3 linked regions of the Rattus norvegicus genome follow. The protein of the gene in region 2 purifies or fractionates together with the protein of the main gene of each other region. This does not show direct contact. Links are inferred from orthologs where the notes say so. Each region holds a gene or a part of one and is shown on either strand. Other genes may lie near its edges. The genes, in order: Abhd10, Kcmf1 and Acot9.

What was found.
Region 1: the proteins of Kcmf1 (region 2) and Abhd10 purify together in Homo sapiens (affinity purification with mass spectrometry; 3 studies listed by BioGRID and IntAct, counting the BioPlex papers as one, with this or other methods). This does not show direct contact. The link is inferred for Rattus norvegicus from reciprocal best matches to the Homo sapiens genes KCMF1 and ABHD10.
Region 3: the proteins of Kcmf1 (region 2) and Acot9 purify together in Homo sapiens (affinity purification with mass spectrometry; 3 studies listed by BioGRID and IntAct, with this or other methods). This does not show direct contact. The link is inferred for Rattus norvegicus from reciprocal best matches to the Homo sapiens genes KCMF1 and ACOT9.

The regions. Positions count from the first base shown.
Region 1 is NC_086029.1:68,542,611-68,546,751, reverse strand, and holds the start of Abhd10 (palmitoyl-protein thioesterase ABHD10, mitochondrial precursor), read right to left. Parts: upstream 2,818-4,141; 5' UTR 2,813-2,817; coding exon 2,698-2,812; intron 551-2,697; coding exon 367-550; intron 1-366. UniProt on the Homo sapiens protein: Acts as an acyl-protein thioesterase that hydrolyzes fatty acids from acylated residues in proteins.
Region 2 is NC_086022.1:106,452,746-106,456,397, forward strand, and holds part of Kcmf1 (E3 ubiquitin-protein ligase KCMF1), read right to left. Parts: intron 2,886-3,652; coding exon 2,711-2,885; intron 1,677-2,710; coding exon 1,394-1,676; intron 1,146-1,393; exon of another isoform or gene 1,023-1,145; intron 1-1,022. UniProt on the Homo sapiens protein: E3 ubiquitin-protein ligase which accepts ubiquitin from an E2 ubiquitin-conjugating enzyme and then transfers it to targeted substrates, promoting their degradation by the proteasome.
Region 3 is NC_086039.1:43,956,203-43,959,854, forward strand, and holds part of Acot9 (acyl-coenzyme A thioesterase 9, mitochondrial), read right to left. Parts: intron 620-3,652; coding exon 449-619; intron 147-448; coding exon 109-146; intron 1-108. UniProt on the Homo sapiens protein: Mitochondrial acyl-CoA thioesterase. Catalyzes the hydrolysis of acyl-CoAs into free fatty acids and coenzyme A (CoA), regulating their respective intracellular levels. Regulates both mitochondrial lipid and amino acid metabolism.

The sequences.
Region 1 (4,141 bases), on a different chromosome or scaffold from region 2:
TACTGTACTATACTATACTATCACTACTCAGCCTCAAGCACCCATGTTAGAAAGTAATAAACAGTGATCAAATAAGTCTTTTGTCTTCAGTGGAAAACCCATCATCACAGGAGATTACAAGAAATCCAACAAGTATATTCCTTTGCCACACAGATTGTTTTATCTAGAGAACTAAGTTACTAGCTCCCTTCTACCTTCTGCTGCCAATCTAGCCAGCACAGCACCCATACCTTAACGTCCCTAACTCATAAAACCAAAGTCTGCACACTATTAAATAACTCCATTTACTAAAACACTGGCCTTTACTTCATTTACTTAATTTCAATACTAAATGGCAATATATTCGCTGAAATGTATTGTTCCTACCTGATAAAGGCGTGACCTATAGATTTGCAAAACTCCTCAATCGCTACTGCCTTTTTACCATTCATGTTAGAAAGATAACCAGGGATGAAGATAATTCCTGGGTTTTTGCCCTTTAACCTCTTATAAGCCAGGCTTGGAAGTTCTGGTCGTTTAAGGAAAGAGAGTGTTGTCTTTTGTCTGCAAGCTAAACAAAGTACACAAAGCGTCAATGATACTTTGAAAATTATTTTTGGAAAAAAAAATCACACGTATTTTCACATTTTAACTTTCTTATCCCGCTGCATTTGACAGGAAAAGTCAAAATAAGCTTCAAGTAGGAGATTTTTAGTTTTAAGGTTGCATCAAAAATTTTTAACTTCTTAGAGGAAGGCCCAATCATACTTTCCCAAAATACAGAATGAAATAGCAATTTCAGTAAAACAAAAAAGAGACTCATCAAAAAATATCTTCATGTTGGCATAATGGGATTATCCTAAACATTAGCAATGAACATTTAAATTTAAATACATCACTTTCAGCTTTTCCCCTGAGATTTCTCCGTTTTAAAGATGTTTCAGGAATTCATATCTTCTACTTTGGTCAGATGAATAGGAGGAAAGAAGTGGAGGTGTGTTTTGTTTCTTTCTCTCCCCTGCCTTTACAAAATTATTTCAAAGGGAAACTGACTCCTGCAACCCCAGGTTTTGGGAATCGGAGGTGAAATAATCACGAGTCTTGAAAGTATTTATTGAGGAGGGAATGATATCCGAAGCACTGAGCTGTGTTTGACCCGATTACCACTTAGCAATCCTCCCCAGAAATGGCAAGCAAGTGGTAACAAACCGTAACTTCCTACATGTGGGGTTTCACACGGCCGTTCCTTTAAGAATAAGTTTGGATCAATTATCATTCTTGGAGACATATTTCTCAAACAGCTCTGTAATTGATGCTCTACTTTGGTTGGCTGCCTTTTTGTAAGTGGAACACATATACCTTAGAACTATCTAAATGTGTCGGGACAAATGGTGACTCTTACAGGGCTTTCTTTGCTGAGCCATCTTTGCTAGCCCTTATTAAAAAAGAAAATTAAGCAGTCTTACTTTAACTCATGTTGCTTGTAAAAGCTTCTGGGTCTCTCCCCTGTGTACTGCTAAATGTTTTTTCCCATTTTTAATTTTTGAGAAAAAAAATGAGTAGAGAGCCACAGGCAGGGGGGGACCACTACAATTTCCAGGTCAGCTTGTTCTGTACACTGAGTTGTAGGAAAGACAAGAGGCTAGGTGGTGAAACCCTGTCTCACAAACCATACCCTGCCCCCAAACACACACAAAGAATCAAAAGTTTTGAAGTTTTCCCTTATTTGTGTCAAATAGATTCAAACGTTTAGTGTATGGAAAAATGCACCAACTTTAAAACTGGATTTAAAACAGGGTTTCTGGGGATCAGTTTATGCTGGTCAATAGATTGTATCAACATTAATGTTCATATCCCATTTCTTTAATTAAACACTCAAACTACTTTTTTTATCCCGTTTCAGGCATAACCCCCCCAACAAATTTCATTTCAGGCGGTTACACTGAATTGATGTTTGTTAGCTGTAAAACAACAGATTCAACCTTCAATCTATATATAATATAGATTAGCTGAAAGCCTAATGTATACACTGTTAATGAATACTGCTAAAGAGATAAAAAAATATGTTCCTCTTGTTAACTAACTATACTTCCTAGCATTACATAATACTCTTTTTTTGTGTGTGTACAGTGTTAAGCTAATCTGATTACATACTTTAAAAAAATTAAACATGTTAATTTATATAATGGCATTACTATTCCAAGGATATTATTCAAGGATAACTATACACACACAAATCATGTATTCTATGTATGTAATATTATTGATCCAAATTTTAGTTTCCATTGTAGAGTAATTCCAATTTTTTCAACAAGAAAAATCAGATGTTAGGTCCAAAGATGGCATTTACTTGTATATACATACTTTGTTTCCTTAAGTCCGCGACTGGCAAGGCCAAACATTTGACACAATATGGTAAAGCCCTAGAAGCAGTTAATATTCAAATACATCAAATGCACATCTTAACTTTTCTTTTCTGGTCTTGAGGTTTGATTCAGAGAACGCAGGAGCTCCTTAAATCGCAATGTAAACACAAGGACCTCCAAGAACGCCCCAGAGCCTCAGCAGAAGAGTAGACTCTCCCAGCCTTCCCCAGAAGTGTTCAGTGCCGAGAAAGCCAGAGCAGTTTTGAATGGCGCGCCGAGCCCGCAAGGCGGGCACTGGACGATCGCCAGGCCTTCGAAAGAACCCCAGTACCCCACCTTCCCCTACACTAACCTGAGAGCCACCATGCCCATGGGGGCTTCCGAGCAAGTGACGCGATCAGGCCTCGGTGCCGGCCGAAGGACACAGCCGCCCAGCCCCACTTCCGACAAGGTACCCAGGCAGCCATCTTCCCAGCTACCCCTGCGCCCGCTACAGACGTGCACCGGTCGCGCGGTCCCGAGGTCACGCACGCGCAGTCCGCAGGAAGGCGGAGGTTGCTAACTTGCATCACGTGGGATTTGTTTCTCCCGAGGAGACGCATGCGCAAGGGTGCTGTCTGGCGTGTGGCTGTCTCGACTAGTTTGTTCTGTGTACCCCAAAGGGCATTTGGCTTGTGACATTAGGCGTCCTTGGCCGTTTTTCATCGCAGTAAGCTGCAGAAATCTCAGAGAGGAGCTATGGTCAAATGGAGCGTTTGTAAATGGGAAACCGTGTTACCATCCGGAGGACCCAAAGACCTGTGATAAAATTTGCTAGGCTTCTTTGATTACTCCTATGGGGGTAAAAATTCAAGAGGCCAGTCACATTATTGGAGTCGCATCAAACATTCTTTGCTCTCTCCCAAACATTTTCCCACTCACCAGATTGCTAAACATTCAAATGAGCAGCCACAAGTAAAAGTACTGAAAACACTCATTCACATATGGTTGCTCTATGGGTGAAAACCTAAAGTCTTTTGTCAGGCAATCTGGCCATGTTTGTTTATTATGCACATACTTTTCAGTACTCTTTGAACTACCATTCCTTTTATGACTATCCTAAATAAAAAGAACACTGAAGGGACCCCTAGACCAAGTTCCCACCACATAGAGATTTGTCCCACAGACACAAAGGGCAGGGAGTAAAAGACAAATTCTGGACATGGGGGATGAGAGAGAAAGAGGAGGAAACAAGAGAGGAGGAAGGGGTATTTGTTCCAGATGGGGGACATAGGACTGCCTCTGGATAGAGAGAAGACAGATGCGGTCCATAGGAAAAGGGCAGATTATAAAGGTAAAAGGATAAGACCCATGCTAGGATGAGGTGTTTAATTTTGATTGGACATATTAATTAGGACTAAGACAGCCACAGGGGGCTTTTTGCTGGACTTAAATACTTTGATTTTCAGACTTGGTAGTGGGCAGGAAGTGGCCAAATAAGGAAATAGACCTTGGGGGCTACAGTTTCCAGCAAAGCAGAGGAAATGAATGAGAAGGGCAAGGACTTCCAAAGTCATCTTTGCCTGCTCAAGCTGGCTAGACTCCCTTCAACATGAGTTCATAAGGCTGTGTATTATCTTAAAAGAACAGTTTTTGTAAAGACAAAAGCAAGGTGTGTGTGTGTGTGTGTGTGTGTGTGTGTGTGTGTGTGTGTGTGTGTAGTAATCAGTGGCAATAGAAAAATAATTCAAGAAATTGTGATACTAGGGTCTTTGGATTCTGACATCCTTCAAAATAATTTCAGGGGCCTCAAGTCT
Region 2 (3,652 bases):
AGAAGAGCAGTCAGTGCTCTAAACTGCTAGCCAGCTCTCCCGCCCTCGTGTTACTCTTTTTAAAGACTTCTGTATGTGAATGAGTGTCTGCTGGCATGTGTGCATGTGCATCTGTGCACGCCTGGTACCTGAAGGGGCCAGCAGAGGCTGCCAGAACCTCTGAAGTCAGGTCACTGGACAGTCTGTGAGCTGCCATCTAGGTGCTGGGAACTGAAGCCAGGTCTCCTCAGGGAAAAACAGCAAGGCTCCAAGTTCTGAGCTACTTCTTCAGCCCCTTTGATAGGGTCTCATGTGTCTCAGGCTGGCCACAAACTCATAATGTGGGAGGATATCCTTGATTTTTCTCAGTGCTGACATTACAAGCCAAGTGCGAGGATTAGAGACTGCGCATCATTGTGTATGTAAGGTCAGCATTCTATAACAGAACTACATTCCTAGCCCTCAAGGTAGTTTTAGAAATACATGAAAACTTCCACCAGTGGAATAAATGGTCTGCTATATGTGATGAGTATTAATGATACCATGGTAAGCCATTTTCTAAAGTTACTTTTGGGTAACAATCCTAAGAATTTAAATCTAATTTTGGGAAATCACATATACTCCTCCCTCCCCCATATTATGAAAGCGTTTGTTCTTCTATATATCTATACTTGTGGTACATGCATGTGCACATGTGTAGACACAGGTATGTGTACCTGTTCGTATTTCTGAAGGCTAGAGGTGGGCACTCTTAGGGCTGGAACAACAGAATACTCTTTACTTAGGTGTGAGGATCTGAACTCAGGCCCTCATGCACTGAACACTACCCACTGCACCATCTCCATTAAGCCCTCTTCTGTTCTAATGTTTCAGCAGACTTTAATGGAAGATTAGAACAGACATTATTAAATAAATTAGCTAATAAAGGTGTATAAATATAAGTGAAATGATACAGCATTTTAAGTGTTATGTGTAGTATGGGAAAGAAAATATTTTTTAAAGTTTTTCTTTTTAATAACTTTTAAAAATTTTATTGTATTTGTTTATGTAGCCTAGAAGTATATGAATAGAGTAATATTCTCTATTCAGTTTATTTCCCTCAGCCAATTTCAATGTCCCAAAGTTTAATTAACAAAGAAAAATATTTTTAACGATGATATACACACACACACACACACACACTCACCCCGTAATACCTTGTAAACACAAACACCAACATTTACTTTATCTGAAACAGTAAGTTTTTGTGTTCCTAGGGGAATATTAAATATGTATTTTAATTGGAGAGCTGTAATGCTTTAATCCAAGACAGTTTTTCATGAAGTTATACACACAAAAGGAAAGAGCTCATTAGACTGGACAGTGTCAACAAAACATCCTCTCTCCAGCCCAGCCACACTAGTCAATGAAATACCTTGTTAACAGGAACTGGGAGTTGTGGAGGGCCTGCGGGCTGTTCTCTGTGTTGGCTGTGTTGGCTGTGGCCGTGGCCTGTGTGATCGTAGTGGTGACGCTGCTTGTGTTAGTGCGCCGACTTGCGTTGCGAGCAGTCTCCAGTTGTTGCCGGGCCGCCTGCGCATGCTGCCGCTCAAGCTGCAGCTGCATCTGCAGTTGTTGCAACTGAGAAGCGGAAGGGCCTGAAGAGTTAAGCTGTCCTCCTGCAGAACGTCTCACTCCTGATAACTGAGATAACAGCTCTGCCAATGGAAACGCATATAATCAATCAACTTGACACAGGGAAACTTAGTGCTTCGTTACCATTTTGTCAGTGGAGAAAATCGAAGTGTTGTGAAACAATGCAAGTTCACGCAACATATTCCAAGTTCTGCCAAGGACCCAACACCTATGTGAACCTACATAAAACTAAGCCTGCTTCAGACAGAACTTAAAAGGTGGCTTTAAAAACTATTTAGACTCAGGGTTGGGGATTTAGCTCAGTGGTAGAGCGCTTGCCTAGCAAGCGCAAGGCCCTGGGTTCAGTTCCCAGCTCCGGAAAAAAAAAAAAAACCCAACAACAACAACAACAACAACAACAACAACAACAAAAACAAAAAACAAAAAAACAAAAAAAAAAACCCAAAAACTATTTAGACTCAAGAGCAGGTCCAATCATAATCAAGAACTGTTAAGGGAAACACCATGAAAGCATGAAAGTCTACTCTTTACTCCCAGTTCTTGGATCAGGGCCTGGCATGATGGTATCAGCACTCATAAATCTCTGCTCATTTGATCAGAGGAGTTAGCAGGATGAAACCTCAGAGTCTGGAGCGTTTATAAATGTGGTTCTTGTATTCTGGCTTCTGCCTCCTCTCCACTGTAGCGCTTGACTCTGGCCTGGTAAAACCCATACTCTTGTTTTAGTGGAGTTGTTCAAGGTATTGTAACATCCTCCTTCAGTATGTTCAATAATCACTATGTTCTTAATCATGGTGAGGAGGGACACATTCCTACTTTCCTCCCAAGAACTTACTGAGTGCCTAAGTCCTTAAGGTGGAATCACAGGATTCTAAGGACTCTGAAATCTTTCCTAAAGCCCTTCCTCTGTGTTATCTTATCCCCTAATGCCTTTGAGAAATGCAGTAGTACATGGATTACTTTATGATGTCCACTTAAACTTGAAGGAATCCACGCACAGGACTAGAAGCAAAAGTAAAACATAAACTACACAAACCATCTTTAAAGGAGCTCCCCAACCTCTGCCCTTGCCTTTAAGAAGTGGAAACAAACTTACCAGCTATAGGATCCATGGCTTCCCTACTGCTTGGAGAGTATGAACTCTGAGAAGAAGAGAGTCCACCAGTAGAACTGCTAGTAAAGTGCATGTTTGATCTACGAGCACGAGGGCCTCCTAACCCCCGACCAGGGTGAAACATTCTACGTACATGTCGAACACCACTCGATTCATCATAACTCAAGGTTAAGGAAAGGATAAGTAGTTTACAAAAAGAAGAAAAAACAAAATGAAAGTTGTTGGGAAGTCCTAAATTGTGAGCAGCTTAAAATAGTACTTTTAGCTTAGAATATAAATGTCACAACTCTATGAGGCTCGTTTATCCTAAAAAAGATAACATGAAACAACAGACATAAGCTAGGCATGATGTAATCCTGAATCGATGCATGCCTGTAATCCTAACTCAGAGGCAAAGACAGGAAAACAATGGAGTTTGAGGCCAGACTCAAAAAAACCAGATAAATACAATCATACAATACATACATATAATACAAAAGCAATGTATAGATTCTATATGTTCTGAAGGCCAAGAACTTTCTTCCAGGTTCTAGACCTGAACACTGCCAGAGCGAGGTCAAAAGAGCTGCCTGGTCACAGATCTATGGTGCTCTTAACACTGGATTTTATGTATCAAGAAATAAGACACTCAGTCTCTACAATGAAAAGGAGCAAGCTGAATAATCTAAATTCTGTAAATGTGGCTTGTTTCAATGTCCGCTTTAATTTCTGTCTTCAACTTTTATTCCCAGCTCTGTTGCTAAACAGAATATACCTGAATTGCTGTATCACTGGATACACATTAATCTAACATGCTTCAAGCAGATTGCTAGAAGCCTTATTCTTCTCAGGATTGAATGTGAACCAAACTGAGCAAGGTCTTGTGCAGCAATTAGCCACCTAAATCATAAAGATAAGAAATAAGGACCAACTGACCAACCAACC
Region 3 (3,652 bases), on a different chromosome or scaffold from region 2:
CTTTTATGTCCTCCTATGTCCAGATTAAAAAGGTAAAATAAAATGGCCCTTTCTGTCATGGAATCACAGTCTACCCATAACTGTTATTAGGAATACAAATACCAGTACCTCCTAAGCTATCAAGGTCCTCAAGAATCCTGCCAAATCTGTGAAACAAAGCAAAATATGAATTAAATAAAAATCACAATGATTTCCCCTTAAAATCCCATAATACACTTTAAAATAATAAAAGGACTATAAAAATGACTTTAGTGATATTTACACAACTCTTTCACTATACTGAAACACTCATATACAGTCACAACTCTTTCACTATACTGAAACACTCATATACAGTCATACACTTTAAAATAGATGAATTACAAAGTTTATGAATTGTATCTCACTATAGTTGTTTTAAAAGAAAAAATTAAAACAAATGACAATGATGAATATAATACAGTGTTACCTCACTGTATTTTGAACAGTCAAATATTTGTCTCGTAGATCAGGGTCAGAACCCAAAGGCAGGAGGACTTCAATGTAACTGTCCTTCATTTTCCTCGGTGGTAGGGCTTTCTGTGATGTAGCCAAAAAATTATGAAGTAACTTCCTTTCCTCCATTGCTTTTACATGGTCTCTGAGAAGAAAAGGCAAGGCTTCATAAAACAAGAATAGTGCTGACCCACAATTCCAGTACCCATCCCTCAAACAGGATAGTCAGACATAAAAAATGGAAGCAAGGGAGATCTATGCCTGCCTTATCTTCAATCCCTTCACTCCTCTCTCATGACCCACCTGGAGAAACTGAGCATTTCTTTTTTTTTTAATTAACTTGAGTATTTCGTATTTACATTTCGAATGTTATTCCCTTTCCCGGTTTCCGGGCAAACATCCCCCTCCCCTCTCCCCTTCCTTATGGGTGTTCCCCTCCCCATCCTCCCCCCATTGTCGCCCTCCCCCCAACAATCTAGTTCACTGGGGGTTCAGTCTTAGCAGGACCCAGGGCTTCCCCTTCCACTGGTGCTCTTACTAGGATATTCAATGCTACCTATGAGGTCAGAGTCCAGGGTCAGTCCATGTATAGTCTTTAGGCAGTGGCTTAGTCCCTGGAAGCTCTGGTTGCTTGGCATTGTTGTTCATATGGGGTCTCGAGCCCATTCAAGCTCTTCCAGTTCTTTCTCTGATTCCTTCAAACGGGGTCCTATTCTCAGTTCAGTGGTTTGCTGCTGGCATTTGCCTCTGTATTTGCTGTATTCTGGCTGTGTCTCTCAGGAGCGATCTACATCCAGCTCCTGTCGGTCTGCACTTCTTTGCTTCATCCATCTTGTCTAATTGGGTGACTGTATATGTATGGGCCACATGTGGGGCAGGCTCTGAATGGGTGTTCCTTCTGTCTCTGTTTTAATCTTTGCTTCTCTATTCCCTGCCAAGGGTATTCTTGTTCCCCCTTTTAAAGAAGGAGTGAAGCATTCACATTTTGATCATCCGTCTTGAGTTTCATTTGTTCTAGGCATCTAGGGTAATTCAAGCATTTGGGCTAATGTCCACTTATCAATGAGTGCATACCATGTGTGAAACTGAGCATTTCTAATGACATTTTTAAACTTGTACGTAAGAGTCTCATGCTCTACCAACTGTGAGAGCTGGGGGCTAGCCATATATATAAAAATGCATATTTACTGATATAGGTACATCTAATTGGGACACTGACCAAAAAGTTTCTTCAGAAATCAAGTTATCATTCAGTGTTTAAGAGCAGTGGCTTCTTGTTTAGAGGACTCTGATTGGCTTCCCAGCACTCACAACCATCTGTAACTATATTTCCAGAGGATCTGATGCCACCTCCTAGCCTCCTCAGACACTGAACACACATGATACCCATGCATAGAAAACACATAAAAAGTTTTATCTTTTAGAAGGCTTATTCATACTAGCAACATAGCTTGGGAGTAGAATACTTGCCTAGCATGTGTAAAATCCTGAATTCAACACTAAGCCAGAAAGGGGAAGAGAGATGAGGCAGGGTTATAACACTACTTCAGAGTCTCATTATCCTGTCAGATTCATATTTGTTCTCATAGTCTCTCTCCTCTCTTCCCCTCTCCCTCTCCCTCCCCTTTCCTTTAGTTTTAGAAAAGAGACAAATGAGAAAAAAATGAATGATATCCAAACAATGTATGCAAAGCAGAATAAAAGGTAAAAGGGAAGAAAATGTTTTTAAAAGACAAAAGCGGAAAACAGAAAACTAAAGTAGAACACAAAAGAGAAAGCAGCAGGAAACGAAAAATTTAGCAGCACTATTATATACAAAGTGCTTCTAAATTTAAATGATTTATTTGAGTTAATTTTATACCCAGCCACTTTGCTGAAGTTGTTTATCAGCTTTAGTAGTTCTCTGGTGGAACTTTTGGGATCACTTAAATATACTATCATGTCATCTGCAAATAGTGATATTTTGACTTCTTCTTTTCCGATCTGTATCCCTTTGATCTCCTTTTGTTGTCTGATTGCTCTGGCTAGAACTTCAAGAACTATATTGAATAAGTAGGGAGAGAGTGGGCAGCCTTGTCTAGTCCCTGATTTTAGTGGGATTGCTTCAAGTTTCTCTCCATTTAGTTTAATGTTAGCAACTGGTTTGCTGTATATGGCTTTTACTATGTTTAGGTATGGGCCTTGAATTCCTATTCTTTCCAGGACTTTTATCATGAAGGGGTGTTGAATTTTGTCAAATGCTTTCTCAGCATCTAATGAAATGATCATGTGGTTCTGTTCTTTCAGTTTGTTTATATAATGGATCACGTTGATGGTTTTCCGTATATTAAACCATCCCTGCATGCCTGGGATGAAGCCTACTTGATCATGATGGATGATTGTTTTGATGTGCTCTTGAATTCGGTTTGCCAGAATTTTATTGAGTATTTTTGCGTCGATATTCATAAGGGAAATTGGTCTGAAGTTCTCTTTCTTTGTTGTGTCTTTGTGTGGTTTAGGTATAAGAGTAATTGTGGCTTCGTAGAAGGAATTCGGTAGGGCTCCATCTGTTTCAATTTTGTGGAATAGTTTGGATAATATTGGTATGAGGTCTTCTATGAAGGTTTGATAGAATTCTGCACTAAACCCGTCTGGACCTGGGCTCTTTTTGGTTGGGAGACCTTTAATGACTGCTTCTATTTCCTTAGAAGTTATGGGGTTGTTTAACTGGTTTATCTGTTCCTGATTTAACTTCGATACCTGGTATCTGTCTAGGAAATTGTCCATTTCCTGAAGATTTTCAAATTTTGTTGAATATAGGTTTTTATAGTAAGATCTGATGATTTTTTGAATTTCCTCCGAATCTGTAGTTATGTCTCCCTTTTCATTTCTGATTTTGTTAATTTGGACACACTCTCTGTGTCCTCTCGTTAGTCTGGCTAAGGGTTTATCTATCTTGTTGATTTTCTCAAAGAAGCAACTTTTGGTTCTGTTGATTCTTTCTATGGTCCTTTTTGTTTCTACTTGGTTGATTTCAGCTCTGAGTTTGATTATTTCCTGCCTTCTACTCCTCCTGGGTGTATTTGCTTCTTTTTCTTCTAGAGCTTTTAGGTGTGCTGTCAAGCTGCTGACATATGCTCTTTCCTGTTTCTTTCTGCAGGCACTCAGCGCTATGAGTTTTCCTCTTAGCACAGCTTTC